Linked DNA regions of Schizosaccharomyces pombe. Each later gene encodes a partner of the first gene's protein in a complex. Each region holds a gene or a part of one and is shown on either strand. Other genes may lie near its edges. The genes, in order: mrpl15, mrpl19, img2 and mrp20.

What was found.
Region 2: mrpl15 (region 1) and mrpl19 share a complex: the UniProt entries of both Schizosaccharomyces pombe proteins name them as parts of the mitochondrial large ribosomal subunit.
Region 3: mrpl15 (region 1) and img2 share a complex: the UniProt entries of both Schizosaccharomyces pombe proteins name them as parts of the mitochondrial large ribosomal subunit.
Region 4: mrpl15 (region 1) and mrp20 share a complex: the UniProt entries of both Schizosaccharomyces pombe proteins name them as parts of the mitochondrial large ribosomal subunit.

Annotation. Positions count from the first base shown.
Region 1 is NC_003423.3:4,359,172-4,367,605, forward strand, and holds mrpl15 (mitochondrial 54S ribosomal protein mL57), read right to left. Parts: upstream 4,621-8,434; 5' UTR 4,512-4,620; coding exon 3,879-4,511; 3' UTR 3,711-3,878; downstream 1-3,710. Other genes in the region: U3 snoRNP-associated protein Utp6, read left to right, coding at 1-288; SIN component scaffold protein Sid4, read left to right, coding at 1,469-1,583, 1,804-3,671; SPOM_SPBC1539.02 (uncharacterized protein), read left to right, coding at 4,845-6,005; arg41 (argininosuccinate lyase), read right to left, coding at 6,214-7,596. UniProt on the Schizosaccharomyces pombe protein: Component of the mitochondrial ribosome (mitoribosome), a dedicated translation machinery responsible for the synthesis of mitochondrial genome-encoded proteins, including at least some of the essential transmembrane subunits of the mitochondrial respiratory chain.
Region 2 is NC_003424.3:3,203,283-3,210,991, forward strand, and holds mrpl19 (mitochondrial 54S ribosomal protein uL11m), read right to left. Parts: upstream 3,259-7,709; 5' UTR 3,253-3,258; coding exon 2,818-3,252; 3' UTR 2,680-2,817; downstream 1-2,679. Other genes in the region: npt1 (nicotinate phosphoribosyltransferase), read left to right, coding at 1,079-2,311; cytochrome c oxidase assembly protein Cox16, read left to right, coding at 4,238-4,468, 4,588-4,698; ribosome biogenesis protein Nob1, read left to right, coding at 6,619-6,820, 7,036-7,709. UniProt on the Schizosaccharomyces pombe protein: Component of the mitochondrial ribosome (mitoribosome), a dedicated translation machinery responsible for the synthesis of mitochondrial genome-encoded proteins, including at least some of the essential transmembrane subunits of the mitochondrial respiratory chain.
Region 3 is NC_003424.3:584,650-593,238, reverse strand, and holds img2 (mitochondrial 54S ribosomal protein mL49), read right to left. Parts: upstream 2,173-8,589; coding exon 1,993-2,172; exon of another isoform or gene 1,822-1,992; coding exon 1,684-1,821; 3' UTR 1,087-1,683; downstream 1-1,086. Other genes in the region: SPOM_SPAC3H8.04 (chromosome segregation protein), read right to left, coding at 1-496; csr102 (sec14 cytosolic factor family phosphatidylinositol transporter), read right to left, coding at 2,980-4,314; pdc202 (pyruvate decarboxylase), read right to left, coding at 5,927-7,642. UniProt on the Schizosaccharomyces pombe protein: Component of the mitochondrial ribosome (mitoribosome), a dedicated translation machinery responsible for the synthesis of mitochondrial genome-encoded proteins, including at least some of the essential transmembrane subunits of the mitochondrial respiratory chain.
Region 4 is NC_003424.3:398,970-407,122, forward strand, and holds mrp20 (mitochondrial 54S ribosomal protein uL23m), read left to right. Parts: upstream 1-3,916; 5' UTR 3,917-4,090; coding exon 4,091-4,576; 3' UTR 4,577-4,843; downstream 4,844-8,153. Other genes in the region: ATP synthase complex assembly protein atp25, read left to right, coding at 1-368; ATP-dependent RNA helicase Dbp10, read right to left, coding at 579-2,902, 3,003-3,225; AP-2 adaptor complex subunit Apm4, read right to left, coding at 4,844-6,110, 6,169-6,233, 6,272-6,280; SPOM_SPAC31A2.10 (Ran GTPase binding protein), read left to right, coding at 6,833-6,955, 6,995-7,063, 7,165-7,199, 7,299-7,491, 7,534-8,153. UniProt on the Schizosaccharomyces pombe protein: Component of the mitochondrial ribosome (mitoribosome), a dedicated translation machinery responsible for the synthesis of mitochondrial genome-encoded proteins, including at least some of the essential transmembrane subunits of the mitochondrial respiratory chain.

The DNA.
Region 1 (8,434 bases):
GATCTTCAAGCTATTGTAGAAAAATATCAGTCAATTTCCTCAGACTTTCAAATCCCTTTTAAAACAAAAAAGATATTTTACTCGTTCTTTGTTAAAACTTTGCATGCGATATCATCGTCATCAGCCGCCGAAAGCTCTATTGCGCTTGCTTTACACATGTTAGTGATAAACGCGTTTCAATCAATGGAAAAGCTGAAAATACTGACGTTTGATGATTCTTTGCAAGAAATATATAAGGAAGCTCAAATTCAAAGCGGAACGTTTATGAGCAACGCAACACTATCTTGAGACGGGTCTAGTCATAATGTTGGGTTAAACGGTACAGATGTATATATAATTAGGTACAATATTTTTTGTCTGGGATTTATGCTTTTTTTAATACTTAATAAAAATTTGGTTTCCTTTCGTGTAATTTTAACTTTTGTACCAGCATAAGCATTTACATCACGTAAAAAAAATGTTTAGTCTGGATGAATATTGTTGACGCATTTGAAAAGATCGTTTTTATTATTAATAGTCGGCTGTAAAGAATATACCCTTTTAGAGTGTCAGAGAGCTTATTATATATGATCTTTGAATAGTGTTTAAATATTAGAACCCCACTTTATTATGGAATTGATTAGTTGATCTACGAAGAGTTTCAATGTTGTAGTTAAAAATCAATCCTTATCATTCGTTAAAGCTCAATGATCAATCTTTCAATATCAAAGGACTATCAAATAATTTTCTGAAGATAACCTTACAAACTTAAATGGCTTTTTATATAGCTTAAAAGCAATTACGAAGGAAATAATGGATTATGCTTGGGCACTAGGGCTCTGTAGCGCTATTTTTTAATATAAGACAAATTTTTTTCAAGTTGTGAATCACTTCATGGCTTTCTATTGATTTCATTGACAACGAAACCAGTAAAACTATTGAAATAGAAATAACCTATTGTGGAATTAAAAAGCTGTGATCTTAAAGAATTTTATGGACAATGTTTAGAACAAATAGAATTAATACTGCAGTAACAAAAATATCGCATACATTTCTATTATATACTCGATTTGGGAAAAATATTTGCTGCGTTATTACAAATAAAAAGAAAATAATTCAGTGATTATGGGCACTTGAGTATTTTAGAAAAAAAAATAATTCCAATAAATATAAAATTAAACTAAAGTTTAAGTACTAGAAAATATAATGGCTTTAGAATCATTACTTTCAAGAAGTTCGGATTTGGGCTATGTCTGCCTTTACACTTTTTCAAATTCATTCATTTTTTCTAGTAACTCTAATAGAAAAACTTTTTATTTACAAGAATTAATGATACATTTGAATGATTTATATACTCATAATTAGTTAACAACTTTTTGTTATTATCTGGTGTTTATTTACATTTCGAGCATGTGACTTACACTCTTGGGTAACAATATTAGTTTTAAGTCAGCTACTCACAAACTAAACCTTTTAATCATGTTTTAGAATGGATGAGGCTTTTGGTGATAGTTTGAGTACAGATTACCGATGGTTAGGTCATTCTCATTTTGATAGTCATCCATCTGCGGGTGACAGTATATACTTTGACTCCCTTGACGAAGGTAGGTAAAGTTTAATGTCAACTTGTATTGTGAACTTTTGAAAACACTGGGTAATTACACTCATGCCGTCTTCTTCCATCTGTAGATGAACTAAATGTTTTCTATTTTAAGAGGGAAATTGGTTTATGACATACATTTTGGCTTGAAGGGTATTCACCTGTAACGTCCATATACTTTTTCGAAAAGTCTGTCAACTGAAAATGTAACTAATATTATGTAGATGCAGATCCGTCTCGTACCGCTAGAATTGATCGAATAGCTGAATTGTTGGATGGACTTAACGATGAACAAATAAGTGAGCTTGTTAATGGCGTAAATAGTACTACGATTAAAGAAAACACCAAAAAAGAAATTTCGAACCCCAATGACTCTACAAGACTTCCTTTAGAGCAAATACCAGGTTCAAACAACTTATTTCTGGATCCGCGTCATCAACTTGGTGATAATAGTCAAAATGCTCAAAGACATCATGAGCCTTCGTTTAACTCGGAGAAAGCATCTTATACTAGTACACCTTACAAGAATGTCGCCCCGAAAGTGATTGATTCACCTAGTGCTCGTCATATGCACTCCAATTCACCTTCATTTCCACCTTCTCAATCACACACCAGCTCTTATGACCAAAGTCCAAAAGGACAGCTACGAGATAATATTAGTGTTCCTAATCAACAAGATGGATTGGACCCTGAAGTGTTTAATCAGCAATCTAAAGAGACTAAAAAAAGTTTACAGGTTCCACCAAGCCGTAACGTACCACCCCCAGTCACTCGCCCTAATCAATATAATCCTGAGCCTAATTTTTCTTTGAGTTCAGGTTATCCACAACAACATTTCTCACAGCCGGAGCTTCAAAATCGGAATGTTCATTTGGAAACTGTACCAGAGTCATATCCAGTACCGCCTTCTGGCTATCCTCTTACTTCATCTACATGTGTTTCTTCTATTAGTCAACCTATCCAATCTACGGATTGTCAAAAGGCTCAGGAAAATCTTTCTAATAATAAACAGATGTCGTCGAATGATCAAGACATCGATCCTTTTAAACAAGCCATTACCGATTTACCTCCTTCTTTTGTTAATATTGTTTTGGAGATGAATGCCACAATACAATCCTTATCAAATCAATGCCAACAAAGAGATAAACAGATTGAAAATATAACCAAGCAATTGCTTATGAATCAGCAGGATTATTGTCCCACAACAATGTCAACAACTGTTTCTACTCCACTTTGTCCTCCAAAACGATTCCCTAAAAGCACAAAAGACTTTAAAGAGCAAAAACCTGATACGAAGCAGGTACGATCTGCTACTATTAGCAATGATTTTAACCTTAAAGGCAACGGAAGGTATAATGAAAAATCTCAAATTGCGGTTCCAAGTGAAATACGAGTTCAGCTATCAACACTTGATGCTATTCTTTTGCAATTTGAGCACTTGCGTAAGGAACTTACCCAAGCCCGTAAAGAGATACAAATTCTTCGGCATACTTCTCAAAATGGAGATCAAGAATCAAATGAAAGCTCAAAAAATGCAATAACCACAAAGACTACTGACAAAGGAAATAATAAGGAGAATACTATGCTGAATGACGGGTCTACAGCCCCTGCAAAAAATGATATAAGAAATGTTATTAATACCAATAATCTTGATGCAAAATTGTCAGATGAAAGTGAGTTAATGATCGAAAAGAACAAAAGCTACTCAACACCTGCTTCATCTACCATCCCTACTTTCCATACCTCACAGCCTCTTACTTCCTTAAATATGCCTGATTCTAGATTTAATCTGGCTAAGGAAAAACAACTTTATTATCGGCTAGGCCTTCAGCATATAGATCAACAGTGTAGTGTTGAAACAGCCAACATGTTGAAAACAGTTTTGGTCCAATTAAATATCCCTTTTGCAATTTTTCCTTCTACCATCGGACAAGTCAGACGCCAGCTGCAACAAGGTCGTAGACTCTACCAATGGGCACGAAATATCCATTATCTAATATACGAGGAGAATATGCGTGACGGTTTGGTTTCAAAACAGTGTTTAGCAGATATGCTGAAAAAGATAAGGGAGCTTAAAAAACGTAGTTTGTGAATGGATGCCAATGACTTACAACTCGATCAATAAGATTTTGGGATGCAGCTTATATTATACAAATGTTGATAAATATGAAATATATTATTAACTACTGACTGAATGAAAGAGGCGTTAAATAAATCGATAGTAATAATAAGCGTATGGCAAAATGTACTATATTATGGCATCCTTTGCATAAAGAATTTTATCCTGCTGCTACACATCTTATTGATTATGCACGGTATTAGGTCTCACGAAATCTTTTGTCAAATCTGATATGATGCTTTTCTTACAAAAATTCATAGCCTCAACTCCGCCTTTTTGGAAGTAAACGACAGCAACAAGTCCGGAAACAATACTACTGTATATCTTTTCAAAACTAGACGAAGATGGAGAATTAGGCCCTTTTAATGGCAAAATACATTGTGTGGCAGTTTCAGGATTCCATTTTTTTGCAACTTCAGCGAGTCGAGCAGGGGAACGAAGATTTACTAAATCCTTGTATGAAGGTATTGTGCTAAAGTTTCCTGATTCCAAATAATGATTAAGTAAGCAAACATCGATAACTGCATTTCCAACCGAAACGAAAGGTTCATTATATCTTTTCAGCCCATGTTTATAAGATTTATGAGTTACAATTTGTTCTCTTAGAGATTTGTCTGAGATGTAATTTTTTTCACCAAAAACACGACTGAAAAAGCTGTCAATGTCTTCTTCTGTAGATGTCATTTCATATCTGTACTTATTTTCATTACACGCAATTTTCCCAATTCGACGGACACAATTCCATGATGATGATCTGAACACAAATTTATTTTCAATTTGAAGTCCTAAACGATTACAATGTCTTGTTAACATACGGATGGCATAAAATCTTAGAAAGAGCTTCAAGTTCCTCAAACCCTTGTATGGAAAATCAACTTTTCGAAAGAAAAGATATCTGTTTTCTGCAACTAGAATATAGGTTGTTTTTAAAAAACATTGGCCGATTACGAAGTAGTAAAATAGCGCACTACGCTTGAGATCACAGTGTACGAACGTCAAGGTATGCTAATGTTATCAAACTGTTTCAATAATTTACAATTTATTTTGTGTTTTACTGTTAAGTGTATATAAACAACTACTACAAAGTTATTCCAAAGAAACAATTAATTGAAAGGATACTGAAGTTTTGGTTGAAAATTTGTCACAATGAACCAAGATGATTTCAGAAAGCTTTTAGCTACTCCAAAAGCCGAAACCTCCCAGTTAAAAAATTTCTCATCGAATAAAAGTCAGCGACTTGTTTTTGGTCGTAAACATAAGACGGCCAAATTGGAAGCACCCAGAGCCCTAATTAAAAGAAAACAACTAAGTCATTCTACATCGTCAGACATTACGAGACATTCTAATGCAAAAAATTCAGGGAAAGATACTCAATTTTATGAAGAGCCTTCTTCCAAACAGGATATTGAGTTGCACAAATTGCACGAGAAACTTCGCAATGGCCAAATTACGACAAAAGAATATTCAGAAAAATCTAAAGAATTAGGCGGAGATTTGAATACAACTCATCTCGTGCGTGGTCTTGATCGAAAATTGCTTGAAAAAGTTCGCTCTAATGAGCTAGCCTTGGATGATTCTCTGCTTTCTTCGAGTGAGAAAGAAGTTGACGAAGAAGCAGACAAGCTTTTAGAGAAAGTTGCTGAGGAGTCATCACATCCTGAATCTGTTTCTATTCTAGAAGAAAAAAAGAAGATACCTCTTTATCCTAATGGACAACCGAAATATCGTAAAATTTTGGAAAATGGAAAAAAAGTTAAATATTTGCTTGATGAAAATGGTGAAATCCTAAAACGGCTTGTGAAGAAGGAAAAAAAGTTAAAAAATGATAATGAACGTTTAGAAAATGAACATAGAACCGAGAAATTAAACGTGAACGCTAATAGCTTAGGGAAAAGCTTTGTTAAGCATGATATACCACTTCCACCAGTTGATTTGAAGCTCGATATTTTCGAGGAGGTTGGAGAATATGATCCTTTTCATGAAAATGATAAAGAGCCTGCTGAGTTGAAGGCGAAGGATGCTTTTCAGCTTAAAGGTCATCATGAATTGGATGCGCCTTATCATAAGAAAGTCTTTGATACAAATCAATATAGCGATCTTAAACCTACGAATTTTATGTCTCAAATTCATCGACTTGCCAAAGTTCAGGAACGCAAAGAAGAAGAAGAGCGAAAGAAAGGAAAAGACGGACAAATTGTTGATGCAGGTTTCGGGCTTGTATTATCAAAAGACGATACAGCAGATATTCACGAGTTAGGGGAATCTGACGATGATGATAATGTTAAAAGGAGAAAGACGAAAGGTTAAAAGTACTACTTCATTCAGTATGAATATTTACGATTTAAGATTTAAGTTACGTGTTTTTAAAATATTATTATGAGGCTACAATTATTTATTTGCCCGTTTTACACCAAAAAACCTCGATTCGGGGAATTATGTTGAGGAAGCCCTGTTAAATGATCAAACGAACATATAGAAAAAGTAAGTATATCCATATCATTTCATGTAAACTTATCTACTCCAAGGCCTTTTTAATGGTTTGGATTTGTTCTAATACACAACTCTTAGCGGTACCACCAATCGCACAACGCTTCTCCACACTGGATTCATAGTTGAAAACATCTGCAACATCTTCTTCATATAATGGGTGTAGCGATTTAAAATCTTCAACACTTAGCTTATCAATGGTAGTGTTTCTTTCCTCGGCCATTCGGACAGCGGACCCGGAAATATGATGAGTTTCACGAAAGGGAACACCTTTACGCACAAGGTATTCTGCCAAATCAGTCGCTAGCATGTCCGCAGTCAAGCTCTTAGCAATATTTTCTGGATTTACAGTTAAAGTAGAAAGAACTCCGGTTAGAATTTGAATGGAATCCAAAACAGTTTTGGAAGAATCGAAAAGCGGTTCTTTATCTTCTTGGAGGTCTTTGTTATATGTTGAAGGAATCCCTTTAACCGAAACCATAAAGCCCATCATGTTGCCAAAAACTCGGCCAGACTTTCCACGAAGAAGTTCTAAAGAATCGGGATTTTTTTTTTGAGGCATAATACTACTTCCAGTTGAATAAGCATCGGAAAGGGTAACGAAGTTGAACTCAGAAGTAGAATATATAATAAGATCCTCTGCCAAACGGGAAATATGGGTCATTACCATACTAGCCCAGAACATAAATTCAATAACATAATCGCGGTCAGCTACAGCATTCATTGAATTCATAATAACCCCTTCAAAACCAAGTTCCTTTTGTAAGAACTTACGATCTACGGCGAAAGGATTACCAGCAAGTGCACCAGCGCCTAAAGGGAGTCGGTTGACTCTAGAATAAATTTGTTTCAAGCGATCCAAGTCATTTAATATAGAAAAGGCATGAGACAATAAGAAATGGGACCAGCGAATAGGCTGGGCTCTTTGCAAATGAGTGTAACCGGGCATAATGATATCAAGGTCAGACTCTGCACGAGCAACAAAAACTTGGAGTAACCCAACTAAAGATTTTTGGATGATGTCCAACTCATCACGTAGCCAAAGGCGCATATCGGTCGTAACTTGATCGTTGCGACTTCTTCCTGTATGAAGCTTACCAGCAATGCCTGTACCAATTATTTCTCCCAATCTGCGCTCGTTAGCAGTATGGATATCTTCGTCAGAAGGTTGAAGAGTGAATTTATTTGTCTTCCATTCATCTCGGACAGCCTCTAAACCATCTAACATTTTATCCAATTCATCAGCACTAATGATTCCGCGTTGTTCTAATGCCTTAGCATAAGCTTTCGAGCCATCAATGTCGGCATTGAACATGCGCTTGTCATAATGAATAGACTCATTATAAGCTGTCATCAAGGGATCAGTGGCGCCAGTAAATCTACCGCCCCAAAGTTTTTGTGAAGAAGCCATTCAGAATTGTTAAAACAGAGTCAGTTTTTCAAGTTTTCAACCAACGCAAAAAGGAGGTAGTACTACTTAAAATTTAATTTATCTAATCTTTTGAGAGTATGGCTATATGACCGTGTAACCTCTTCCTTATCGCAACCTATTGTTATATCACATTAACGATACGGCGATAGATATGAAATTGATATTATAATCGCTATAATAAGATCTAACGTATTGGAACGTATAAACACTTAATAAATGTTTACATTCCGCTTCGTTATTTCTTTCCTTAAGTTTACAAAAGATATCATATATGGAAGCTTTGGTTGGAATCTTACTGTATAAATGTACTCAACCTGAATGATTTGTTTTGTCTTTCTGATTTATTAACTCAGAGCTACCAAAGAATTTCGCGAGCATTAGCTTAGATTTAAGAAAATTGACTGTTATAAAGATTGAGAATTCTTAAAAGATTTTCTTGTTAGTTGTGATTGTTTTTTCGATTTTTATTAGAACGATATTTATAGATGCCTGAAAACTCATTGGTAGATAAGTATTGTTTTCTCGTTTTTACTAGTGTCTGATCAGACTAAACTGGTTTAAACATTATGATGCATCTTCCGCCCAATTTCTTTTAAGATAGCTAACGAAAATCAATTAAAATAAACATGGACCAACCGAGTTTATGAATCCACCAAATATAGTGGGATTATAAAGAAGAAGAAAATCAACGAAGAATAAAGTGATAACAGTACATGATTTTCCTTTTCCCTCTTTACTTTCGTCTCTTACTGCCTTAAATTATACACTGCATTTCAAATTGTCAACTATATTATTGATTTCTTTTGGCATGAACACA
Region 2 (7,709 bases), on another chromosome or scaffold:
TCCGAAATTACTCGTTAGTTTTTTTGAACTGTTTCTTAGTGATGTCTTTTACTACATGCTAATAACGAAATTCTGAATTCTTTGTGACCAAAAAAATATATTTTTTAACACTTGAGTTATGCTATGCTCTGTGCTTTATGGAAGTTTAAAATTATCACCCTTACTACTTGTACCGGAAGATTTTTAAATGAGCGTCCTAATGCTCCTGAATTAATATATACAAGAGTCAGGATAGGCAAGTACTTACGGAAAGGAAATGAAATTTTTGGAATTCTCTTTTTTGTCCTGCTAAAATTGCAATATATTAGAAATGGTCTTATGAAAAACACTTAAGAATATCATATTTAGTTGTAAACCCATTTTAATGAATTTTTGAAAAGAACTTTAGAAAATATGTGCCAGTATAAAGATTGAGTTTCAATTATCAATTAATGAAAAGCAAATTGAAAAGTTATTCCTAATGCCATAAAAAGGCGAACAATTTTAACATCGTAAATAAAAGTAAGTAACAATACCATGATGTTACTTGAAAAAGTAAATCATCGCCAAGATACAAAATGTCAATCTACCAAGATCAGATTCGTCCTCAAATTGGTTTTGTTTGCTACAGGCTATTAAAGTAGTACAATTGTTTGTTGAAGGTATGCTCGTTTGTTAAAAATAATATAATTTGATTTCCTGCAATTTTGGCGGGTATACTTTTCGAGTCTGCATTATAACATGCGCATGTAGTATAAAATATAATGTTTCACATCTATTTGACAATTGACACTAACTTGAAAAAGATCCTAACCCTTTAAAATTTTGAAAACCTTCACAAAAAAATTGACTTCTATTTCCTGCGACTAAGAGTGTTCTGATTGAAATTGACATTAGTAGGGGAAATTATAATTAATATCTTTCATATCAAGACACTTTAAATTTTAATTCTATTTGATTTTGATTTCCTTGCGTTTTTAATGCGCTAACGGCAAACGTTCATTGATTTCATAAAAAAGTTTCGTCGGGTTCTATACACCTCAGGTTTTCAACCAATATTAATATATAATTTGAAAATATATCTATCCTTTTTGCTACGATGAGTGAACCGGCTGTTGTCTCTATCCTCGATACGGATCTTTACAAACTCACCATGCTTCAAGCCGTTTTAGAGCATTATCCGGATGCTCAAGTATCATATAAGTATACAAACCGGTCCCCAAAAATGGCATTAAATCAGGAGGCTTATAACTGGTTACGGGAACAAATAAGAGGCTTACGGAATTTACATTTACTTCCTGAAGAAGAGCAATGGCTTCGCAAGAACTGTCCTTATTTAAAGGAATCATTTTATGAATTCATGCATGAGTTCGAATTTGATCCTGAAAATTCAATTTCCCTTAATTATGATTCTGAAACTAAGGATCTCTCAATCTTTATTCACGGCCTCTGGAAGAATACCATTTTTTATGAAATTCCACTGCTTGCTCTCGTCTCAGAATCTTATTTTAAATTTGTCGATAAGGACTGGTCACCTGAGGGTCAGTTTGAAAAAGCTTACGAGAAGGGTAAGCGTCTCATCCGAGCCGGATGTGCCTTTACTGACTTTGGCACTCGTCGTCGTCGTGATCCTCACACCCAGGAAATTGTTCTCCAAGGTCTCATGAAAGCACAAGAGGATTTTAAGGGCCCTGGAAGTTTCCTTGGTACATCTAATGTTTACTTCGCCGCCAAATATAATCTAAATGTCTCTGGTACGGTTGCTCACGAGTGGTATATGGGCATTGCAGCTATTACTCAAAATTATAAACAAGCAAATCGTATTGCTTCCTTAAAGTGGGTCCAAACTTTTGGTACTAGTCTTTTAATAGCCTTAACGGATACATTCTCTACTGATGTGTTTCTCAAATCTTTTACAGCCAATTCTGCCGACGATTTAGCCAATGTTTTCCATGGTGTTCGTCAAGATAGCGGTTGTGCTGAGGAATACATTGAAAAAGTCGTAAAGCACTATAAATCAATAGGTGTCGATCCTTCCACAAAAGTAATTGTTCATAGCGATGCTTTAAATGTTGACAGATGTATCGAACTGTACAAATACTGCGAGAAATGTGGCATTAAGTCTGCATTTGGCATCGGCACAAATCTTACCAGCGACTTCCAAAAAGTTTCCAATCCCAGTGAAGTGAGCAAACCTATGAATATTGTTATTAAGCTTTTTTCCGCTGAAGGAACTAAAGCAGTGAAGATTAGTGACGATATCATGAAAAATACTGGTGATCGTGATGCTGTTATTCAAGCCAAGCATCAATTATGCCTCCCTATAGCATAAGCCATTTCTTTTATTTTCGAGCGTTTCTGCAGTACTAATCTTGGTTTTTTTTTTCTTATTTTTTGATAGATAGACAGAGTTTGAGGCTCTCTTTTATTGAGCTGCATTTCATAAGGCGTGACTTAGAGTAAACATAAAACTCACACTTGAAAATCTTCATTTTCTTTTCTGCTTAGCATATCTGTTTCGTTATCTATATTGATAGTTTAATGCTAAAGGTAATCATTTAGTCTAAGATGTGTTTGTAAACTAACGGTATGCAATTCTTTAATTTTATATGGCAAACGTGTTTTTTTACTTTGCTTGTTTAACGAAGGAATAATATAAAACAACTAAGAAAAGGAGAAAATAAGAAAACAGGGACAACGTTTTAGTCGGTAATAGTAAAAAGTCATATCATTAACTGCTTTTATTCAAGAAAAAAGAGGGGAATAGTTTATAACAAGATAGAAAAAAAAATAACCTCAAGTATGACCAGTTACAAAATGCTCTGGCGTCTCATAAGATTAAGGTACGACTTTGACGCCCATGCTTTTAGCTGTTCCAATGACACTTTTACAAAGAGAAAGAAGCTCTATTCCTTGTAAGCTTGGATCAGTACTTTTCAATTTGGCAATTTCATATATATGCTTCAAGCTTAATTGTCCCTTTATATCATGTAATGGGGAACTTGAACCTTTTTCAAGGTCGAGGGTTTTAGAGATTAACCAACTGGTTGGAGGAGTATGTATAGTGAAAGTAAATGTTCTTTGAGGTGTGACAGTAATTTTACAAGGCACTGGGGTATTTGGCATCCAACCTGCCGTCCGCGCATTAAATTCTTTACAAAAGTCTATGCTCTTCAACCCGCGAGCACCAAGGGCAGGTCCAATTGGAGGCGTAGGCGTAGCTTTTCCTGCCGGTACAATTAATTTTATGATTGTCGTTCTAGTAGAAGCCATAAGGTTAAAGAAGAAAATACAGTTGTAAGTTGTATGTCTCTCATGCAATAAAGTAACATGTTCTTCCTTAAAAATAATTGTAATTAGAATAATAACTAATTTGAAATATTTGGGTGAATTAATTGTAATGTGTTTACTTATTTGTAATATTAAAGCTTTTAATAGCAGTCAGAAAAATTCCCGAATAGACCAAATGTGTCCTTCTCTTCTGCTTGATTGAATAGAAGTAAAAGTATTGACATTAAATAGGCAACTCAGATAAATGGAAAAGACGTTTTCATAAACGTTGTTCGTTTTAGGATTTTTTTGAAAAATTTTAGTTGATTTTTGAATCTCAAATACGGATTAGTTAAAATGTCGCAAAATTTTTCATTTGTTGAACAACAATAGCGCTGAATTGAAGCCGTTTAAAAGAAGCAAACCAAAATTTAGCTACATAGCTTTTCAAAGTTAACTCCTTACTATCAATTAATATATTAAGTTTTTAGGGATTGGCAAATATCCTAACTAAAAAGCATGATTATTTCATTTGAATCACAAGCTGAAATTAAATGGTCTTTTCTCAGCTATTTTATTACTTTCAATAAACATTTTACATACCATTTTATGGTAAACAAAGTAAAACACATGTTTACTGGAAGTCACAGTCTGTCACTAGCACATGCCATCGATATGTTTCTTTTTCCTAATGTGTATTGTAATTAAAACTATAAAGGGTTTTCACCTGAAGTGCTTGGGCTATGTAGGAATGCTGTCACGCGATGCAGCTTGAATAATTAGTAGAAATAAAAAGATTTCAAAGTGCAGATTTCTATTAAAACTCTACTCTTAAAATTAATTATTACAAACCAACGACTATCTTATTAATTTCCATCCTAACATGCTGAGTGAAGTTTGCCATAATCATCTTAACCAACTTGCTATTTACTACACATTCTTAACAATCCATCGTTTTCAGCGAATGTAAGGATGTTAATAAATTAAAATGCTTTTCTATCGATTTAAAAGTTGGTATAGGCTTCAAGCCAAGAAAAGTCCGTTTATTTACGTTGGATTGCCGTTTTTGAGCTCAGTATTATTAGTCTGGTCATGCTTGATCCCCATTTCCCAAGTCAAATTTAACAGACGAGATGAACAAGTTAAATCCTTGTCCCGGGATGCAGAGTTAGACATTATTAAAAGAAGAAGAAAGGTCGACGTTAATGAAGAATATTATGTAAGTAAAGTGCTGATCTTGTTTTACAATATTTAAGTTTTGGCAACCAGCTGCAAAGTGCATTTGCTTTTCGTGAATTTACATTCACCAGTTCCTTTTTTATTAACCACCTGTTATAGAGGATCTTATTAGATCAGTTGAATCTACAGAACGAGGAGTACGAAAATAAACGTGTAAAGAGGTTAAAAGGGGAGCCTACATGGGAAGGAAATTCAAGCGATAAAGAATGAATAATGAACGATTTTATTGTTATTTTGTTCCTTTATTTTATTATTAATTATGGAGTATTGAAAAGGATACAAGTTTTTGAAGTGAGAATGCTGAAGACGACTTTATGATACAGAGTGTTTTAGCATATGGAAATACTCAAATAAATAAAGCAAGAATTTTTTTTTCTAACATGAGAATAATATTTATGTGGCTCATATATAATTATCTTCAATTTAAAGGACCAAATACTTACACTTAAGCATATTCAGTAGAATAAACTTTCAATGAAGATATTTGAGCGTAAATTTCACTATGAATATGTCACTCAAGCCTAAAAGCGTTTTAATAATAGGAGCATTCAGAAAGGTTTCTTTACTAGTAAACGGTTTATTTTTGGCTTTCCGTTATATATAAGTAACTTGTTAAATAGAACTTGTTTTGAAAGCAATCAAATAAGTGCCATCTCTCTTTATTATATGCTTTGGACCATTACAATTACTAATGATACTAACGCATGGTCTGATTCTATCTACTGTTTGTCTAAGTTGTAAAGAAGCCTTTTCGAATGCGTTTACAACGAAAGATGGAGGAGCTAAGGACAGTATTCAAATAGTGACACACTGTTAATAAGGATTAAATTTAATATTAATTTCTTCTTTATAATGGTAATACTTGGTATTGCATCGTCTTTAAGTCATTGAAAATTATATATATTATCCAGAAGCAGTGAACAAACTAACGCACTATAGTAAACAAAAGATCTCCAATACCCGTAAAAATTTATTTTTAGCGTACGACTAGTTTGGATTCCTGGTGAACGTTCTTATGTATAAGACGGCGTGATATTTGCAAAGCTGATTTATTGCATAGGTGATATTAAAATTATACAAGCCGAGATATCATATTCGATTAATCTAAGTTATCACAAGCGAATCCACTTAGTTAACAATCTACCACAACTTATAAATGGTTTTGTTACTTGCTAACTATGCCGAAGATATGTACATATTTGCTAAATTGAAGCGTTTAACGAGTAAACCAATACTTTTAAACAATAAAGATTTCATCGATTTTTTAGCGTATGCTATATGCAAAAAATTGGTATTTGACCCGCTAATGTTTACTGACATACTTGTGCAAATACTTATGAGGCATGAAATTGAAAACTTATTCAGATGAAATGACTAAATTTTACCCTTTCCCCGAAGAACTGTAAAATAATTATGAAAGTTCAGCTATGTCATCGATCTATTACTCGATGAGCTATTGCACTAAATTGCAATTTTTTGTGCCATATAAATTTGTTCCGATTGATTTGAATCGGTGTTTTGGGAATATATAATGTACAAGAGAAAACACCAACCAAAGTACTTTACTTTCATTTCCTTTTTAAATATCCGCAAACAATACATTGTGCTCTTTCAATAATTTTCTCGAGCTACTTGTTATAGTATACCAAAAAAATGAGGGTTGAAACTAACTAATAGACGCAACAATTAAAAGAATAGTTAAAGCCTCAATAGTTGAACCGAACGGCCTCTTTGAAGCATTTGTAAGCAATGGCCAGATCATGATCAGTTACTATCAAGCTCACCAGATATTTTTAACTCTAAAACATTGGTAGTCACTTGATTGAGTAAAAACATTCATGGATAGAAATTTTTCATTGTTAACTTTAAGCATCAGGTGGAAGATATCTTAAAATTTCAAGTCCACTATGTTCAACTTACATACCGGTTTTCTAATAAAAGCACTTTAAACTCCTGCATTGGAATTCATATTAAATTTTCTGACTATTGTAACTCTCAATTCTTATAATATTTTCATTGCTTTAGTTCGTGATTTATTTACCTTAAATTGTTTACTGCAACATAGCGTATATATCAAACATGTGCAGTAAGTACTATGAAAAACATCAGTTTGAGTAAACTAGTGCCAAAATGAGTAAAAGCATTACTCATCTCGTCCTCGATACAGGTGGGATTATCTGCTCTAGTACTTTATTAAGAAATTCTGCGGAAAGCTTTTATACCATTCCTCGAGTGATTGCAGAAATTCGAGACGAAACATCGAGGAAAAATTTTGAACTTTGGGGCGATCAAGTAATTCAAAGAGTTCCAAAACCAGAATTTATAAAAAAAGGTATGTTTTATTAAAAAGAAAGTTGTATAGTGGTTGAAGAAAGCAACCAGCTAGATTTTATTCTGTGCACAGTCATCTCTGAGAAGTGAAAGCAAGGTGGGTGAAAAAGCTTAATCATATTGGAATTTGATCGCTTTCTTACACCTGCTATTCTTTTCAACTACTTCCATCATAAATACTTTGATTCTTGGTAGCAGCTTTCTAACAAACTATAGTTTCCGAATTTGCAAAGCAAACCGGTGATTACTCCTCACTCTCTGTAACCGATATTCAAATTTTGGCTTTGACTTATGAGTTAGAAGTCGAGTTTAATGGTGGTGACTGGAGACTTCGCAAGTATCCTGGTCAAAAGCATATCAATGGAAAACCCCCTAGTAATTCAAATTCTACTGAAGATGCATCTAAACCCACATCAAGCGATACAGCTTCTGTAAAAGAAACTGAGAACAGTGATCCTAAATCCGCAGAGAACGAAGTCTTGGAAGGTGAAACGACACAACATTCCAATAATAAAGAAGCACATCCGAATACTGAAGAAAATAAAGAGCAAGAAGACAATGAGGAAGATGATGAAGATGATGGATGGATTACTCCTTCAAATATTCGCAAAAAGAAAGCTGAGGATGGCGTCGGTGAAAGCCTTGTTCAACCCAAACATCTCAAAGTCGCCTGCGCTACTACTGATTTTTCGATGCAAAATGTCTTATTGCAAATTGGGCTAAATCTAGTTTCTTCAGATGGTTTCAAAATTCAAAATGTTAAGAGATTCGTTCTCCGTTGCCACGGATGCTATACAGTAGTGAAAGACATGGAGAAAAAATTCTGTCCTTCCTGCGGTGGTAACACGTTAATTAAAACCACGTGCAGTATCAACTCTAAAGGTGAATTT
Region 3 (8,589 bases), on another chromosome or scaffold:
TTTCTATGGAAAACTCAAAAGGTACTGATGAACAGTAAGGCATGTGACCACTAAACAAACTCTCCTCGTATGATCCTATAAAACCACTCCTTTGAAAGCAGTTCTTCAATGAATAGGTATTTATACCTTTGGCGTTAAGAGAATGTTCAGCAGAAGCATCAATTGGTTGTTGTTGAGTTATATAATCACCAGACAATAATTTATTACAACGACATGAACATCTCGTGAACAGATGAGGCCCATTTGAAGGTTTAACAGATTTCTCATTGTTAAAAATTTCGAATTTCAATGGAGAATTACAGAGAAAGTGGTTGTTCGCCTTACTATTACCAGGAAAGTTTGAAAAAAAGTCTTTCATCTGACTTATCGATTTCAAATTCATCCATTCTTGTTCGATTGGAAAACTCCTGCTAGTAGAGAACAAGTTTCGAATATTTTTGTATAGCAATTCATTATTTTCAAGAGACGTTGATGTCGCACAATAACAAGCTGGCATTAATAAAAAAGAAAAAGAAAAGGAATAAAAGGCTTTCGATAATCGAATACAAATGAATGCGGTTTGTTCGCATTCAAGGAAAGTAAGGTATTAATGTCAAGAAAAAACAAAACAAAAAATTCAACACGGAAATAAAGTGCCTTATATCGTGTCAATGCTTAACCACTTTTTGATAAACGAAAAAAAAATAACAAAAAAAACAGAAAATCATTAAATCATGGATAACCGTAAGTATTTTTCGAGAAAGCCTCAGTTCACTAAAGAAAATATAATTCCCAACATTAAGAGTTATTCAGCTTATAATCACCAATAAAAAAGGGATAAACTACAAGGAATTTTCTTCTCGTGAATAATTAATTCATAAGCAAATTGTAAATCAACGTCTTCAGAACAAAGCAAAAATTTTAAAAGCTAAAAATGTTTGTCAAAATATTCCTATCACAGACAAATCCAAGTTCAATTCAAAAATAATGAAAAAGTCGTTGAGATTTCAGGATTATAAGTATGTGTGAAGGGAAAGGTAAAGAACAGTCCATGGGCGTATGACGCAGATATATAGATTATGTTTGAAGGTATGTTTTCGATATAGCATTTAATATTTGTCAATTTACAAACTATACAATATTGAGAAAAGAATTTTTAATTTAGTTATATACCCTAATAGCCTTAAACGTATTCTGTCTATAACTACAGTCAAAAAATAAAAACACCGGAGTTTCGATATATATATTATAATTTCCTTTAAGCGTTTATAAATTCAACAAAACAAACGAATAGGTAGCAAAAAAAAGATTGTATTTAGCATTTGGACGCCTCACATTAAGCAGATGTTTGAATTTCTTTTTACGCAAGTACCTCTTGAATGTTTCTACTGAAGCTCGAATAACTATTTATTTAAAGGTAGTTAAGGAAAACCATCACAAAAGATGCATTTTTTCCATTGTCAAGTTTGAAAACCACGTATGATGAGAAGAAATGAATCGAGATTAATTATTTGCAACAGCTGTGTTTTATTTGACATTATCACCGCTGTAACAAGGAGATGAAGTAAAAGTAATATGCTAAAAAGCCAAATTGATATATATGCTCGAGAGTTTTATGTTGATAAAAAGCAACTTTATCATTCCTTTGAAAGAAGGATACGTACATACATAGTAACAATCTAAAAAAGGAAAAATTCTAGGAACTTAAAAACCTTGGTCTTGTAACCATTCACGAACTGTGACTATGTGATTTCCCTTTAGGACAACTTGATTTGTTAACTTGTTTACATAAACATCTTTCGGTGACATTTTAAGTGTGGAAATGAGCCTGAGCCGCAAAGCCTATTGATAAAATATTGTTAGAAAAAAAAAAGAGAACGAATAAAAGAAGTTAAAATAAACTTGGGTTGGCCGTTAAAGCAAAAAGTTGATAGAACAATTTCCGCAGCATAGTGACTTTACTTGTACTTTCTTTAGCCAAGAGATTACTGCTGACGGAATATGTATACTTACATTAGAATCACCATGGATTTTACGAATTAAAGTCAGAATTTTCGTTCCTCGTTGTTTGTAGTCTAGATAGACTGGGAGATTTTTTGAAGGTGTACGTGAAACATGAAACCGAAGTGATTCGGATGCAATTGTTGAGTTGAACCTCAAATTTGATAGCACTGGCTTTAAGGATGATCGCATTTGGTTCAACAAAACTTTCTACGAGTTGCAGGAATTTATGGTGGATGTGTAAAAGAAGTCGTCGTGCATTCGCGAATAAAGAGGATTTCTATCATAACCTCCAAAAATTTGTAAGTTTTAAACAACTGTCAAACAGGAGCCTAAGATTAAGTGATTCACTAAGAACAATTAAAATAAAATAAAACGCTCTTGTTTTAAATAAATTTAATCGGTGCTTGAACCTCACGCGTGTTTAAACTCGAAAGTATTTTTACGGCACGGAATATACTTCAGCGAAGGTGCATACTCATTAAATTAATACTATATTTTGGAGTAGGCATTTAGGTGTTCAGCTTGTTGTTTTTTTTAATTTCGAACCGCTTTCCTACAATAAAATAAAAAATAATAATAAATAGCAAGAAATCTAAGTTAATTTGCAAATAAAACTGATCATTGATTCTAATAAAGACAAAATGGATGGATAAGTATTGCGACCAACAACTTCAATGAAAAGCCATAAGACCTAAAAAAAGTTATCCCTTTCTAGATGATTTTAAGTGCATTAAAGAGAGTGCTAAAAAATTAAAGCGATAAGGAAATGGTAAAACGAAAAGGGGTGTAAAAATCAACGTAGGAAAGAGATTTCATATGTAACTAATTGATATAAAAGATCTTGAAAGTTATGCATTAATAGATGATACAATCATATTTTGAGCCAGCATCTTATTTAGAATAACACGGGAAAGTACAATTAGTCAGTATACGGGAGTATAGGCAAGGGGAAGGATTACAATGTAAAATAGCAGGAATATTGAAAGTTACGACCGACTAAGTTGCCGAGCTAGTAACTTCTACCATTGATTCTTTGACATCTCCATTTGTAGGTTGAGAAAGAAGCAAAGTATGGGAAGTTTGAGGAGCAATTAGGCCCATGCGGTCGTAAACTGAGCGTGCGCGGATGTATTTATCCAAGTTCCAGTATGCATCAATAAGTTGTGAAGCTAACTTACGACGTTTTTGTTTCACTTCTGCCATGTCACCATTGTTCAAAATCCAATCCATTGTAACTTCCTCGTACTGTTTAGCAATTGCATCCTTTTTTGCTCTAAGACTCTTACGAGCTTCAACATTCTTCAGAGCTTCTGCTTCGTTTTGACAGGGTTCTGGATATGTATATCTCCATGGATTAGGCCCACCGAATTCTTTTAAAATATTGTCAGGATTTATATATTGTTGCAAATCACGATAATTACGAGTGAATTTAACCTTTGAGACAACCACTGGATCAAGCCAAGATTTGATGATGGACCAAACGCCTTGGAAAAGCCAAGGCGCTTTGTGTACAATACATTCACCCAGACATTCGGGATAGTGTGCTTCAAAACACTTGATCATGAATTTCAATGGCCCATAGTCCATATTGGACATACTGAAATCAGTCATATCAAAAACAACAGTAGCAGTTTCAATAGGAGGTTTGAGAATTAAACGAGCAGTTTCCATGACCCAAACTGTGAGTCGCTCAACCGATTCGGGTGAGACATCACCAACTTTATGAAGACGTGCGCGAATATAACAAACTGGACGATTGTGTTTATCTTCACCGAATATAAAACACTTTCCGATTCTTAGTTGACGCACAAAATCATCATCTTTATCAAGGTGGTCAGCGTTACATACAATTTCACCAACATTCATCTCTCTACTTCTCCAGTGAACGGTTTTCATGAACATTTCCAACGCAGCCTCAACGTTCCATTTTCGAGCACGAAGGAAACGAAGTAGAAGGCCATCAGGATCATCACAATTAACAGCATCCCAAAAGCAAACTCTAAGCCCTTCCGGGTCCCATTCACTTGCAATTTTTTCAACTCTTTCCAAATGCACATTTTTGGTTTTATCATTAAAACTGCGAGTGTCCGAGCCATGAGATGAAGACGTTAGTTCAAGTCGTGTACGGGATTTCGCATATGAGACGCTGCTTAAACGATGTGATGAGGAACTACTTGAATCATCAGATAAGTGTGTCTTCACTGTGTACCAAGATTCAGTTCTTTCGAGTAAAGTAATGCCGAAGAGCTTAAACAAATAACTCCACATAGTCTTCAACTTCTCTTCTTCAAGTTCTGTGAGATTCCACGGTCTACCGGCTCCTTCAGGCATATTTAATAAGTAAATTGCGCGCAAACAAATATAATCTAGAAAAAGTCCAAGGAAAAAATATATCAGATGAAATCAATATTAATAAAATTGAACTCAATTGAGAAGGAAATTACGAGAATAAGCCTAAAGAATGGAGGTTAATCTCGAAGATATATAATAATTTGAAAAATTGGCAAAGATAGACAAAAGAATGTGACGAGTCAAAAATACACTAGCCGTCAATTTGCTTCCTTTTGGTCAGAGATGCGAAACAAGCTCACTGAAAAACAAAACGTAATGCTTGTAGTAGAAAACAAAATAATATAGGGAACTTAGTTAACCGAATGAATGAATAAAAAAGAAGAATCACTCGACAAAAACTGAGTTGGTATTTTAAAAAAAAAGATAAAAAATTCCTCAGAGGACTATAAGTGGGCCTGAGAAAAAGCGTGAAATAATAACAAAGGGAGAGGAGCTCAATAATTTCTAATTCACCTTAATGTATATCAAAGTGATATATTAATGAATATGCAACGCACAGAAGGAAATGGATTTTTTTATGAAAGCAAAACGTAATAAAATAAAAAGTCACCTACAACTTTTTAAACGGATTTAGATTAATTACCTATTGGAGGCACAAAACGCGTCACAAAAATTAATGCAAAGACAAAGCCGTTCAAAAAGCAAAGAAAAGAAAACAGAGCTTTGAGAACATTCACGCGTTTAACACTTTTGAGAAATGACGGGGAAATTTTTAGGATGCTAAAAAGCGGAATTTTAAGACTTCCTGGTTTAATTACTTTAGCCAAAGAAGTGATCTAAGCTTTATAATTATTAGTAGTCGGTATTTTAGGAATCACTAGTATGCCGAAATTACGAAACTAACCGATCAACACAGCCTCTTCCTATACTTACACAATTCTTGGAATTAGTAGCAAGAATTAAAAGAAAAAGCCAACGAATATTAACCAAAATATATTTTTTCAAGGTACCAAACGCCACGAAATGCAGCTTACCTTCCTATGCGAAAGAATAGAGCGCTGAAGTATGGTGTGGTGTAGAGTGTCAAAGTCAGAAGCTGCGTTGCAGAACCATTTATAAACAACAACGCAAACCGTTCGTCCGTTGCTGTGATAGAGTGATACATAATATCAGTCAATTGCCTTTACCCGCTACATTACCTAGGAAATCGTAATAAACGAGCGTTATAATTTCATTACGTTACAAAACCACTGTATTAAATAGTAGAATCACCCAATTTTTGTAAAACTAATAAATTCTTAGCATATCACAATGTGAATGGAACGGTAGCTCCTATGTAAGAAATAAGAATGTTAAAGTTGGCTTTTAAGCAGTTTAGCAATTTTTCTGCGAAACTAGTAAGTAGATGCAAGGAAACTGGTTTCCACATTGTTTGGATTAACTCTACCTTTTCATTCATTGCTTCCAAGGTATTGTTTGTTTACGTACACCCTAACTTGACTTGAAAAATTTTAAACTAAAAAGTTGCTTTAAACATAAATTTAATAACTAATCATTATACTAAAAGACTATATGAATTGAATGGGCTTATCATAAAAAACATATAAATCAAAGGAAACTTTGTTTGCCAATTCCACTCTCAATAGCTTGCTCATTGCTTATTGATCTTAGACGTCAACTTGGCTTGCTCAACTAGGACACGAGGTGCATCCAACATAGGCATTACAAGCTCAACTACTTGAATGACATCTGCATTTGCAAACTCCTTGTCGCTAAACAACTTTTCAACGTCAGTAGGAGTTTTAACACAGTAAGTGCGGAAGTGGTTTTCAGCAGCTCCGAAAAACTTGGGAATCTGTTGGTAGCCCCATTTAGTGTTAATTTCGTTATAGCTAGCATGCAAACCATGAATTAAACGCTCAATGGTGTAACCGTCGTTGTTAATTATGAAAATAATTGGTTTGAGGTTATGGCGAATGCAGGTTGAAATCTCTGTAATCGTCAGTTGTAAGGATCCATCACCTACTACAAGAATGGTACGACGATCGGGCTCTTTAGAATCGTGGACGGCCAAAACAGCACCAAACATTGCACCAACGGAGTATCCAATAGATCCCCATAATACCTGGGAAATGGCTGTTACATCCTTTGGAAACCTGCAATCAAGGACACCAAAGTTTGCAGTTCCAGTCTCGGTGATCAAAACATCTCGGGGCTTCAAAAATTCACTAAATTTAGGCCAAAACCAGCAATGAGTAATCTCGTTGGAAGAATATCCTTCCGCATGCTTAGGCTTGATGTTGTAGCCAATGGTAGGAGCAGCCTTGGAATGACACATAGAAGCATCAAGTACTTTCAACAGTTTGCGAAGAATATACTTCATGGCTACATTTGGATAAAGAGCATATCGAATGCGCATGTGGTCTGAATGAAACTCAACGGCATTCTTTTGGCTGAGGTGGTAAGAGAAGGAACCCGTGTTAAAGTCTGATTTGAGAGCACCGATGGATAGCAACAGATCAGTGGATTCAATTCTGTCTTTAACTTCAGGATCTGAAATTGAACCAACATAAACGCCGTCAAAAAATTGCGAAGTTTCGTCAATTGCAGATTTACCCATGGGAGTTACATATGTAGGGAAATGGGTCAATTTAATCAGCTCATGTACTTCTGGAACGACACGATGTCTTACAGCACAAGCGTCAATTAAAATCACTGGTTTCTTTGCATTGACAACCATTTCCGAGATATGATTGATGACTTCTTGCTCAACTGCTGGATCGTTAGTATCCTCCTCGAGCTTTAGTCTTTTCCCAAGATTTGATGAAGATGCTTTGAAGTAGCCAGCATCAGAAGGAATACCAATGTAAACAGGCCTAGCCTTTTTATAACAAATCGACAAGGCTTCATCGATCTTTTCAGCTGCATCGTTTCCGTTATCGATCATTATACTGTAGGCAGAAACTTTCTTAAACATATCCATGAAAGTGCGAAAGTCTCCATCTCCTAAAGTATGATGAAGCAAAGCTCCAGTATCTTGCACCTTTGTGGAAGGCATTCCAACAATATGAACTACTGGGACATGCTCCGCATAAGAACCTGCCACTCCATTAATAGCGGAAAGCTCTCCCACGCCGAACGTTGTAACAATGGCTGAAAGACCATTAACACGAGCATAACCATCAGCGGCATAAGCACCATTCAACTCATTGGTATTGCCAACCCAACGAAATTTCTCATCTCCAACTTTCTCAATTAAGTCAAGTAGAGCTAAATTGAAATCTCCTGGAACACCAAGAATGGACTTGACCCCTAATTGTTCAAGCCTTTTGAATAGATATTCACCGACTAAAATATCCCCACTCATGTTTGATAATGCAATTTAATGTGCTTGTGAAATATACTCAACAAATTACAATGCTGAGTGTGTATTCCTTTTTCGCAAGATAATTATCTGTTGAATAACCAGCAGATACTTTCTGAACTTAAAGGAACAAGTGAGTTTGCTAGCTAAAAGTTAAAAAGATATAACCTTAGATGCTTCAGAGCAGGGTTACTCTGGCTATATAAGCAACATTCCGTCATCAATGATACATTGAGTTAATGTGGATTATTCTTTTTGAAACTCTTGGTACGAAACCACTCGTCAGAGGCTATTTCATTATTCGACTCAAATCTCACTATGTGCCACCCGGGAAAACGTCAACTATGCAATTTGCAATTATTGATTTAAGGCATCGTCAGCAGTTTATACTGGACGATTCTTCGGTTAGTGTAAGCAACTGCAGAAATTATTATGAAAACTCTACATCACCGAACGTTCCGTCTCGAAATTCTTAATTGTATCTATACCAAAGACAAAATTGATACCTTTTACATTATGTCTAAACTGAATTTAATGACTATTCCTTATTTCAAGCTTATTAATTTACATGCTTTATTGGTTTGTACCATGTTTGTTTGGATACTTAACATTGAGAGCTGAATGTGAAATATTGTTTCGTCCGTAAAAGTAAGGCGTACCTCATGGTTACGAGACCATGTGACCACTCAAAAATAGAATCCTCATTATTATAAAGTATCCAAAAGTCTTTGAACATATTGCTGTAATTATGATTTCACATGAATATTAACGACATTTTTCAACCGAGTTCACGATTTGCCTGACATCTAGCAATATCGATTTCACAATTGATGGACCATTTATAGGCTTCTTGCTTTAATTCTGATTATTTTTTTCATTGTTATATTGCTACAGTGTTAAGCTTCAACTTGTTGTTTTTCTGTTTATCATATTGATTTGCAAATTGTAAC
Region 4 (8,153 bases), on another chromosome or scaffold:
ACCGTTATGGAATACCCATGACTATTGACACGTTTCTACTCATGCAATTTATATTGGCAAAAAGCAATCGTTGGAGCGAAGTTTGGCGTCGTTGGGATAATCTTAGAAAGGCTGGTGTTGTTTTCAATGAACGTTTATACAATCACGTATACCTTTTGGCCTTCGAAAGTAAAAATGAGCGTGTCATAAATTATGTACTTACCAACATTTTTGAGGATATGGTTAGCCAGTCACCCCCCATTCCAGCTAGTAAATTAATGGCGACATCTTTAAAAAAATGTGTTCAAAGCTTACCCGAAAAGTATGCACATTCGTTTCCATCAGTGCGAAATTATATTGCAAAAATGGAAAACTCAATGACGCATTGAATCTGATGTTATTGTACTTTCTACGTATGCATATACGCGCATTTGTAATGTTTACTTTAAAACCTACCCCTTCTTTCATTAGTTCAATAAGAACAAGTAATAAATATTAACAATAGTATTTTATAATTTACCCAGTTGTAAATAAACCTAAACTAAAATTTTTTAACGCCGATGCAAAAATTCATGCATTTAGTTACCCAAAAATATAAATTATCGATGCTTTTTTGACGGCCGATTGTTTTTGGCAAGTCGTTTCTCTTTGAGCTCACGCGCCTTTCTAATTTCAACAGCTGATTTAAGCTCACTGTTCACCTTAATACCTATTCCTCTTTCTTTAGCCTCTCTATTACGTTTATTTTGTTTGTGATAGTTATCACGGAACTTATCAGCTGGTTTTGGAGTCTGTAACTTATTATGTTTATATCGCTTATTTTCCCGTATAGGAGAATCGTTGGCACCGAATGCTTTAGATGCTTTCCATTCATCAAAACGACCACTACGATATGTTGCAGGCAATTTCACGCCGCTTTCGCCACGAATTATCTTGGGAGACCCTTTGGACCCGTCTTCGTCGTTAATTATATTAACAAATTTCTTTTTCTTTGGATCCCAACGTTGTCCCCCCTTCCTTGATTGTTCAATTCCTTCGTCATTTGTTAAATCGAGAATAGCATGACGAGCTGCGGTAGTAAAATTTTCACCAGAATTTATAGCATAGCCAGTTTCTTGAATAGATTCCTTTGGAGCGTAATGAGACATATAATACTCTTTATCTTTAAAATCAGTTGTCTTCTTTTTTGATAACTCCTTAGGATTTTTAAATACCTCTTCAAGCTCTGACTCTGAAGCTTCTGACATATTACCAGGAGAACTGTCAGTGATTTTATCAGATGCAACTTCAGATTTTATTCCTTTTGGTTTTACTTTGTTTCTTCTTTTCCGCATGATTTCTGCAGCTTCTGTCTTTAAGTGACCACGCTGACCGATTTCAAATACTGTTTCTGATGGCCGATAAGAAGAAACTTTTGAAAGCAATTCAGCATATTTCTCCTCGGCCTCAATTACCGATACATCTCCAAATAATGGATTGTTGGAACTCCAGCCCTTGCTATCAACCAATTCCTTAGCTCTTTTAGCACTCTCAGCACTACAAGTAGCTCTTGTGCGAAAATATAGTTTCTCACCCCTTGCAGCAACGTTGGAAAGTTGCTGTAGCTCAACGTCTCTCGAAACTATTCTTTGTACCCATTCTAGTAGCTCAGCAACAAGTTCTTGGGGTAATGATCCCAAAACAATCTGTTTTGTAAAATCACAATCCGAGTCAGTTTTAACCTGCTTCGAGGATGTAACTAAAGGTCGGTTTAAAAATAGTTGTAAGTCTAATAAATAACCAGCATCTTCTGCTCTAACCAATGAATACGCCCAGCCAGTGCGTCCTGCTCGAGCTGTACGTCCTACACGGTGAACAAAAACTTTTGGTTGAGGAGGGAAATCATAATTAATAACATTAGCAAGTAATGGGATGTCAATACCACGAGAAGCTACGTCTGTAACGACTAGTAAATTTGTTTTTCCAAGTCGAAAATTATTAATTTCATTGAGACGCGCTTCTTGGTCCAAAGACCCGTAAATTTTTGAAACCGAATATCCTGCTTGAACAAGTAACTCAGAAACATACTCGACATGATGTTTTGTAGGAACAAATACTAGAGTAGAATCTGGTGATCCAGATTCACTTCCTTTAAGCGCTAATTCTAATGCACGTTTTCTTTTCTTCGGATTATTGACATTTCCTATTTCTCTTGGGCGCACGTTATCTTTTAGAGGAAGCTTAATGATATCTTGTAGTATACATAAGAGAGCAGCTTCGCGTTCAGCGGTTTTAACAGAAAAAAAGGCACTTTGTAGATCCGCGGAAACCTTGGATTCTACATCAAGGCGTACAAGAACCGGGTCTTGAAGTCCAGCCTTTGCAAAATCAACAAGAGTACGTGGAAGTGTGGCAGAGAAGAGAAGAGTTTGACGAGAAGTCGGCAAAGCATGTAAAATCTCTGTCAATTGAGCAGCAAAACCCATTTCAAAAAGTCTATCGGCCTCATCGAAAACGACATACTCGATTGAACTCAACTCCAATTTCATTTCCACCTTTAAATGTAGAAATCTTCCAGGAGTTGCGACCACAATATCGGGTTTTCCGGATAGCAAACTAAATTGCTCCTCTAGACTGACGCCACCGACGATAGCGACAGATCGAAGATCCGTACCTTTAGAAAAGTCTTTGACGACTTTCACAGTCTGAAGAGCAAGTTCTCGATTTGGCGAGAGAATTAAGGCGCGAGTATTAGAGTTTGCTAGAGTGGACTTCAAATGCTCAATCATAGGTATAACAAAAGCTGCAGTTTTACCTGATCCAGTACGTGCCATACCTACAACATCACGACCTTCCAATAAAAGGGGAATCGTTTTGCGCTGAATCGGCGTAGGAGCTTTAAAACCCTTCTTAAATATTGCTCGAAGTAAAGTTTGATTCAATCCTATAATTAAGTTAGAAAAATATCAAAGTAATTTAGATTACAGTGTCTTGAAGCATAATGCAAAGTGACCTTATGGCAAGTAATCACGAAGTTAACATACCCATCGATTGGAAATTAGAAGCCTTTCCATTCCCCTTTTTTCCCTTCGTCCTCCTGTTAGACTCCAAAAGCTTCGAGGCAATATAATTACCATCATCTTCATCGCTCACATTTTCACCAACATTTTCGTGCTTATCTTTTTGATTATCAGTAGCAATATCAACAGGAAAAGCTTTTAAAGAATTTGATATATCGACCTCGTCGGACGTCTGGAATCCGGACATTTAAGACGAGTGAGCTGCACTTTTGTTGATTTTTTAGTTCTCTAGTGTCGCTGGCAAGAAAATTTACCGTATGAATAACAACTATCAAAAGGGCCTTCTTAAGTTTGATTTAACATTCTCATTTCAATTGTTCTGCTGCGTTTCTTTATATTAAAAATAAGTAATCCAACGTATTTTAATAAACTATAACGAACTTGAAATAAGCTGCTTTATATGTCAGCAATACTACACTACGCTACGATATACTACGTTGTGTATCACTATATGTCACATGTTCATAATGTTCTATTTGCTCTATCAGCTTTACATGATAAGTTATCTAGAAGGATATAATATCATTTATGATAAGATGACTATCAGTTATAATCCTTGTTATTTCAAATGTTATAAATTGAGAACAACTGAATTTGATTCCTCAGTTCAGTTATAAGATATCTCAGCTATAGATAACGATATATCCTATATATTAGAATACCTATATCCAATTCCTACTTATACTACTTGCGTATTACAATATAATAGATCACAAGGAAAACTCACCGCAGTTCTACGTATCCTTAAATCAGATACCAAATTGCGTAGCTTACATATATTACGTTCTAGGATAATACAACCAGAGACGTTATTTGTTAATAGTATACAACTGAGCTTTGATGCAATAAAGCAACCGGATTCTCAGCACGTTAGTACTAAACAACATTTGAACTCCGTAATCCAACAAATGGTTAATAACTAATCGTTTACCTAAGGCCGTTGACATCAAATTCATCTTGAAATCTACTGTTGAGAAAAACCATTTGTTTCTCTTTTTTTGCATAACTAGCACAAGTTGCTTTAGCCTTGAAGTTGAAACTCAATAGTAAATATGAGTAAAATTGCTGGGAAAAGATTAGTGTACTTTCCAAATATAACGTTCACGTTATGCAGAGGACTAAATCTTCAACCTAAATTTGCAGTATTTCGCGTACCTCTTCATGTTAACAAGTTTGATGTTCGCGATTATTTGCAACATGTGTACAATTTAAAAGTCGTATCAGTTAAGTCAAGAATTTATCAGGGCAAACTTTTTAGAAATCAACTAGGACAGGTTAAGAGACCACAATCTGAAAAACGCGTCATCGTTGAGATGGAAGAACCTTTCGTTTACCCAAATGCCCCAAATGATTTGAAAGATTGGCAGGAGGGTGAATTACTTCCTGATGGTTCTAATGTGAAAACCCTGAGCAGGTATCCAAAGGTCCTTGAACAAGTTGACATGAAACGGGTGAACGAAGAGTTAAGTAAGTTACAAGATAAGCAGATACTCGAATCACAACAGAAAATCGCTAGACTTTTAAAGAAAAAGTATTAGTATTTTTTTCATTTCCCAGGTAATGTTTTATTTTGGTTTCCGTCTATTCATTAATGCCTACAAAAGCATAATTATAGCCTCAAATGCCTCATCGAAGCGGTATGGTGTTTAATTGCATTCATTATAACCTCTCTTCTTTCATCTATTAAACTTTCAACGCCACTTGTTTCATTTTGAAATGTTCTAAAACTATTTTGGAAATTCTTTTCATGTCGGAAAAGCACGGTCGTCAATTAATAAAATAATAATTTTGTATCACAATACTTCTTAAATGCGTATCTCGCAAGTTCCAGCCCTAGTTGAGTACCTTACCCATTTAATACTTTTGTATTTGCTATTAGAAGGTTCACTGACCCTTAAGTATTGCACATGTAGACCGGAGCTGGTAAACATAAGAATATTGAAATCTAAGGATATTGGAGGCTTCGCCCATATTTGCTGGTTAGTTGTATTAGATAACTCTACCTCAGCGTAAAAAATAAGTTCAGTTTCGCCTAAAAACCGGGGAATTTTCCAATTGATAATATTTTCAGAGGGCTCGTACCCTGCCTTTCCTCGATTTACACGAGGATTAGCTTTTACCACATTTGTGGGAACCGGTATCCGAAAGTTCAAAGAAGAAGAAAGTTTGTGTGGATAGTCTGCTCGTATACTGATACGATAAATAATTTTTTGTTTCGACAACTGTTCGACAATAGGAACAATTCTAAAAGGAATATTTATGTTTTCATGTGAACGATAACTCATTAATTCAACCTCACCATCCGGCGGAATGAAAGTAATTCTGTGTTCATTTTCAAATTCCGGCAATCTAACACATTGATGAAACTGGCAATCTTCTAAAATGACAAATCCTCCGTTAACTGAGGACGGATTTCTAGAGTTATTTGATTTAGACTTGCTTTCTGATTGTTTTAATTTAAAATCAAGCTTATCATTTAGCCCAAACTGACATTCAGGCATTCCAGAAAGCATTGCACGCATTTTCACGACACCAGAAACATCTGAGCGTAGCACATTTCCAGTAGAGCTAATAAGTAAATTCATTCTTTCAACAATATCAATGTAGATACTATTTTTTCTATACTTAATGCCAGCTCTACGCCATGGTACAGACCCTGGTATTTCAGAGGAAGTGGTGTGTGCCAACTGAGAGGAATGAGACCTTTTCAAGGACAGTGCATTGCCTTTCTTTTTGACAGCTGTTATGCTGACAGATCTTGCAAGTGCGTCAGGTTCAGTAGTCTGAATGATACCATAGTCTATCATTTCATCCAGCAACTCGAAAATAAAGGAGACATTGTCTTTGACTGTATTTTCATTCAGTTTCCCAAAATAATGTGTCAAATCTTGAATTAGACTCTCCAAAAATTCCAAAACAATCATAACATTTGGATTTCCTTTGGTAATGGCAACCACGTAAAGATCCTCGTGTTTCGTGTAAATGTAAGTACTTGATCCAATACTGACAATTGGGTGCCGATAATCAGTATTTGTTAGAATAGCAACGCGAAAAATTTCAGTTACTGATTTCCTTTCAAATGAAAAATTAGTGAAAATGAATCAAAAGCACAAAAATGTAATCTACATACTTTAAATCATGCCGAAAAGTCTTGCAAATGAGCGTGTCACCTTTCAGGTTAAAAATAAACAATCCCTAATATAGTTAGCTACAAATAGAATATTAATACTAACCGAAATCATGGAATATTGATAATATGCAAATGTAACAAGTACTGAGTATCTGACTACAGGCAGTTGAACGTAGCTTTGAACGATATGCAACGAAACGTACAGGCTATTCAACCCCGTTATAAGAATAAACGTAGACGGTCCAAGAGGTATTTTATTGCAAATGGAATAGGAGAAAATTATGCCATATAACTGTCAGTAAACAAGATGCTTTTAATAAAATTAAATAACTTTATTTCCTAGTAGGATGATTGAGGCAGTAGCAAGCAATACATTAAAATTTACAGTCCTTACAGAATCATGTAAAAGAGATGACGTTTCGACTGTCTTGCGGTCATTACCAATTTAAATTGGTGAATGTCGAGTAATGTCTTTGCAATAACTAGCAACTGCTGAAGCAATTCTATCTTTGTTTGATATCGCATATTAATAAGATGCTTATAAAGAGGTAAGTAGGTATTTAAATTACACCAACGACTTTTCATTCCTCAACTTCGCTTCTTGCAATTCATAATGCAAGTGGATTTAGTATAAACTAGTATACTTACAGTAATTACATAAAACATGGACCAAGTTTTATCGAAGGTTACAACTACTGCAGCAACATATGCAACAGCTTATGCTGTTAGAACTGGACTTCAATTGGCTGGTTCCCTAGTTGCTAAACGATTCTCTAAATACATACAAGTATGTTGGTTTTTTAAAAATGGTTTATAACAAATTTAGACGTCTGCTCCAAAGTCCTCTCAGTTTAACTTGGAGTTGGTAAAGTCGCGTTTAGAGCAAAAAATACAGGTATGCTACAGGAGCGATTATTGTGAAAATACGCTCTTTACTGAGAACTTAATGTCTGTTAATTCTTGAATTTTGCTTTTCCACTAACTTGAATTTTACAGGCTATTACACCAGCCGTAGATTTAATTCAACTTGTGTAAGTTTCTAATACATCAATACCAAGCTACTGTTTCGTAAAACAATTGACTGTTTAATTCTGTAGTCCGTTATGGTCGATGAAACTAACTTGGAATAGTGCTGCGCGTGGAAATTCAAGTCTTCAGAATTTAGTTCCCTTGATCATCAGGCTACGAGACCATATTGATGATTTTCTAGAGTTTATTGATTATGAAGCATCTGGCTCAGAAAAGAAAAGCCCTGAAAAGGCGGATGAAGCTTCGGAAAAAATTTTCCGCCGTTGTGAAGTATTACTAAGAGAAATTGAGGAGGTAAATTCATGAAGTCAATGATTGTTTACTAATCTGTAATAGACTATTCCTCTAATTAACCTATCATTGACAACGGCGGGCATAACCCTTAACACAGCTTTAAGCAATACTATTTCGCCATCCAGACTCCTTCAAGCTCAATGTTTTTTGGAATTGTCTGATAAGAGGTTCGAAGAAAGTCATACTGAGATTCAAATAGGTCCTAAATTCACCGTTGTGTTGTATACCTCGTTTTCTCAACCTTCCAAATCGGATGGGCCACTGGATGTCCGATGGCAAGAGACATTTGCAAAGTCCGATCTGTATATTAAACGCGTCGTATCTGCGTCGCAAAAGTTTTCTTACGTGATCTGTATAGATGAGGATTTGAATGATGGAAGATATCACGAAGAAACAGTTGGTAAACCGACGTCTGCGCCAGTTTTTGGGAAAAAACTTGAAATAAGTTTACAAAGGATGTCTTTACTTTGTTATACTGTTTCTGGTAGACTGCTTAATATTTCACAAGCTAAATCTCCTGTTCTTGCATTGCAGCTAACATCTATAAAAGACGTATCTGCTTTAGATAAAGCGCATCAGGATAATTCGGAAGATTTAAATAATCCGTTTATTAAAAATAACGATAAAACTAAGTTTCATCAAAATATTGACTGGATAGCTTT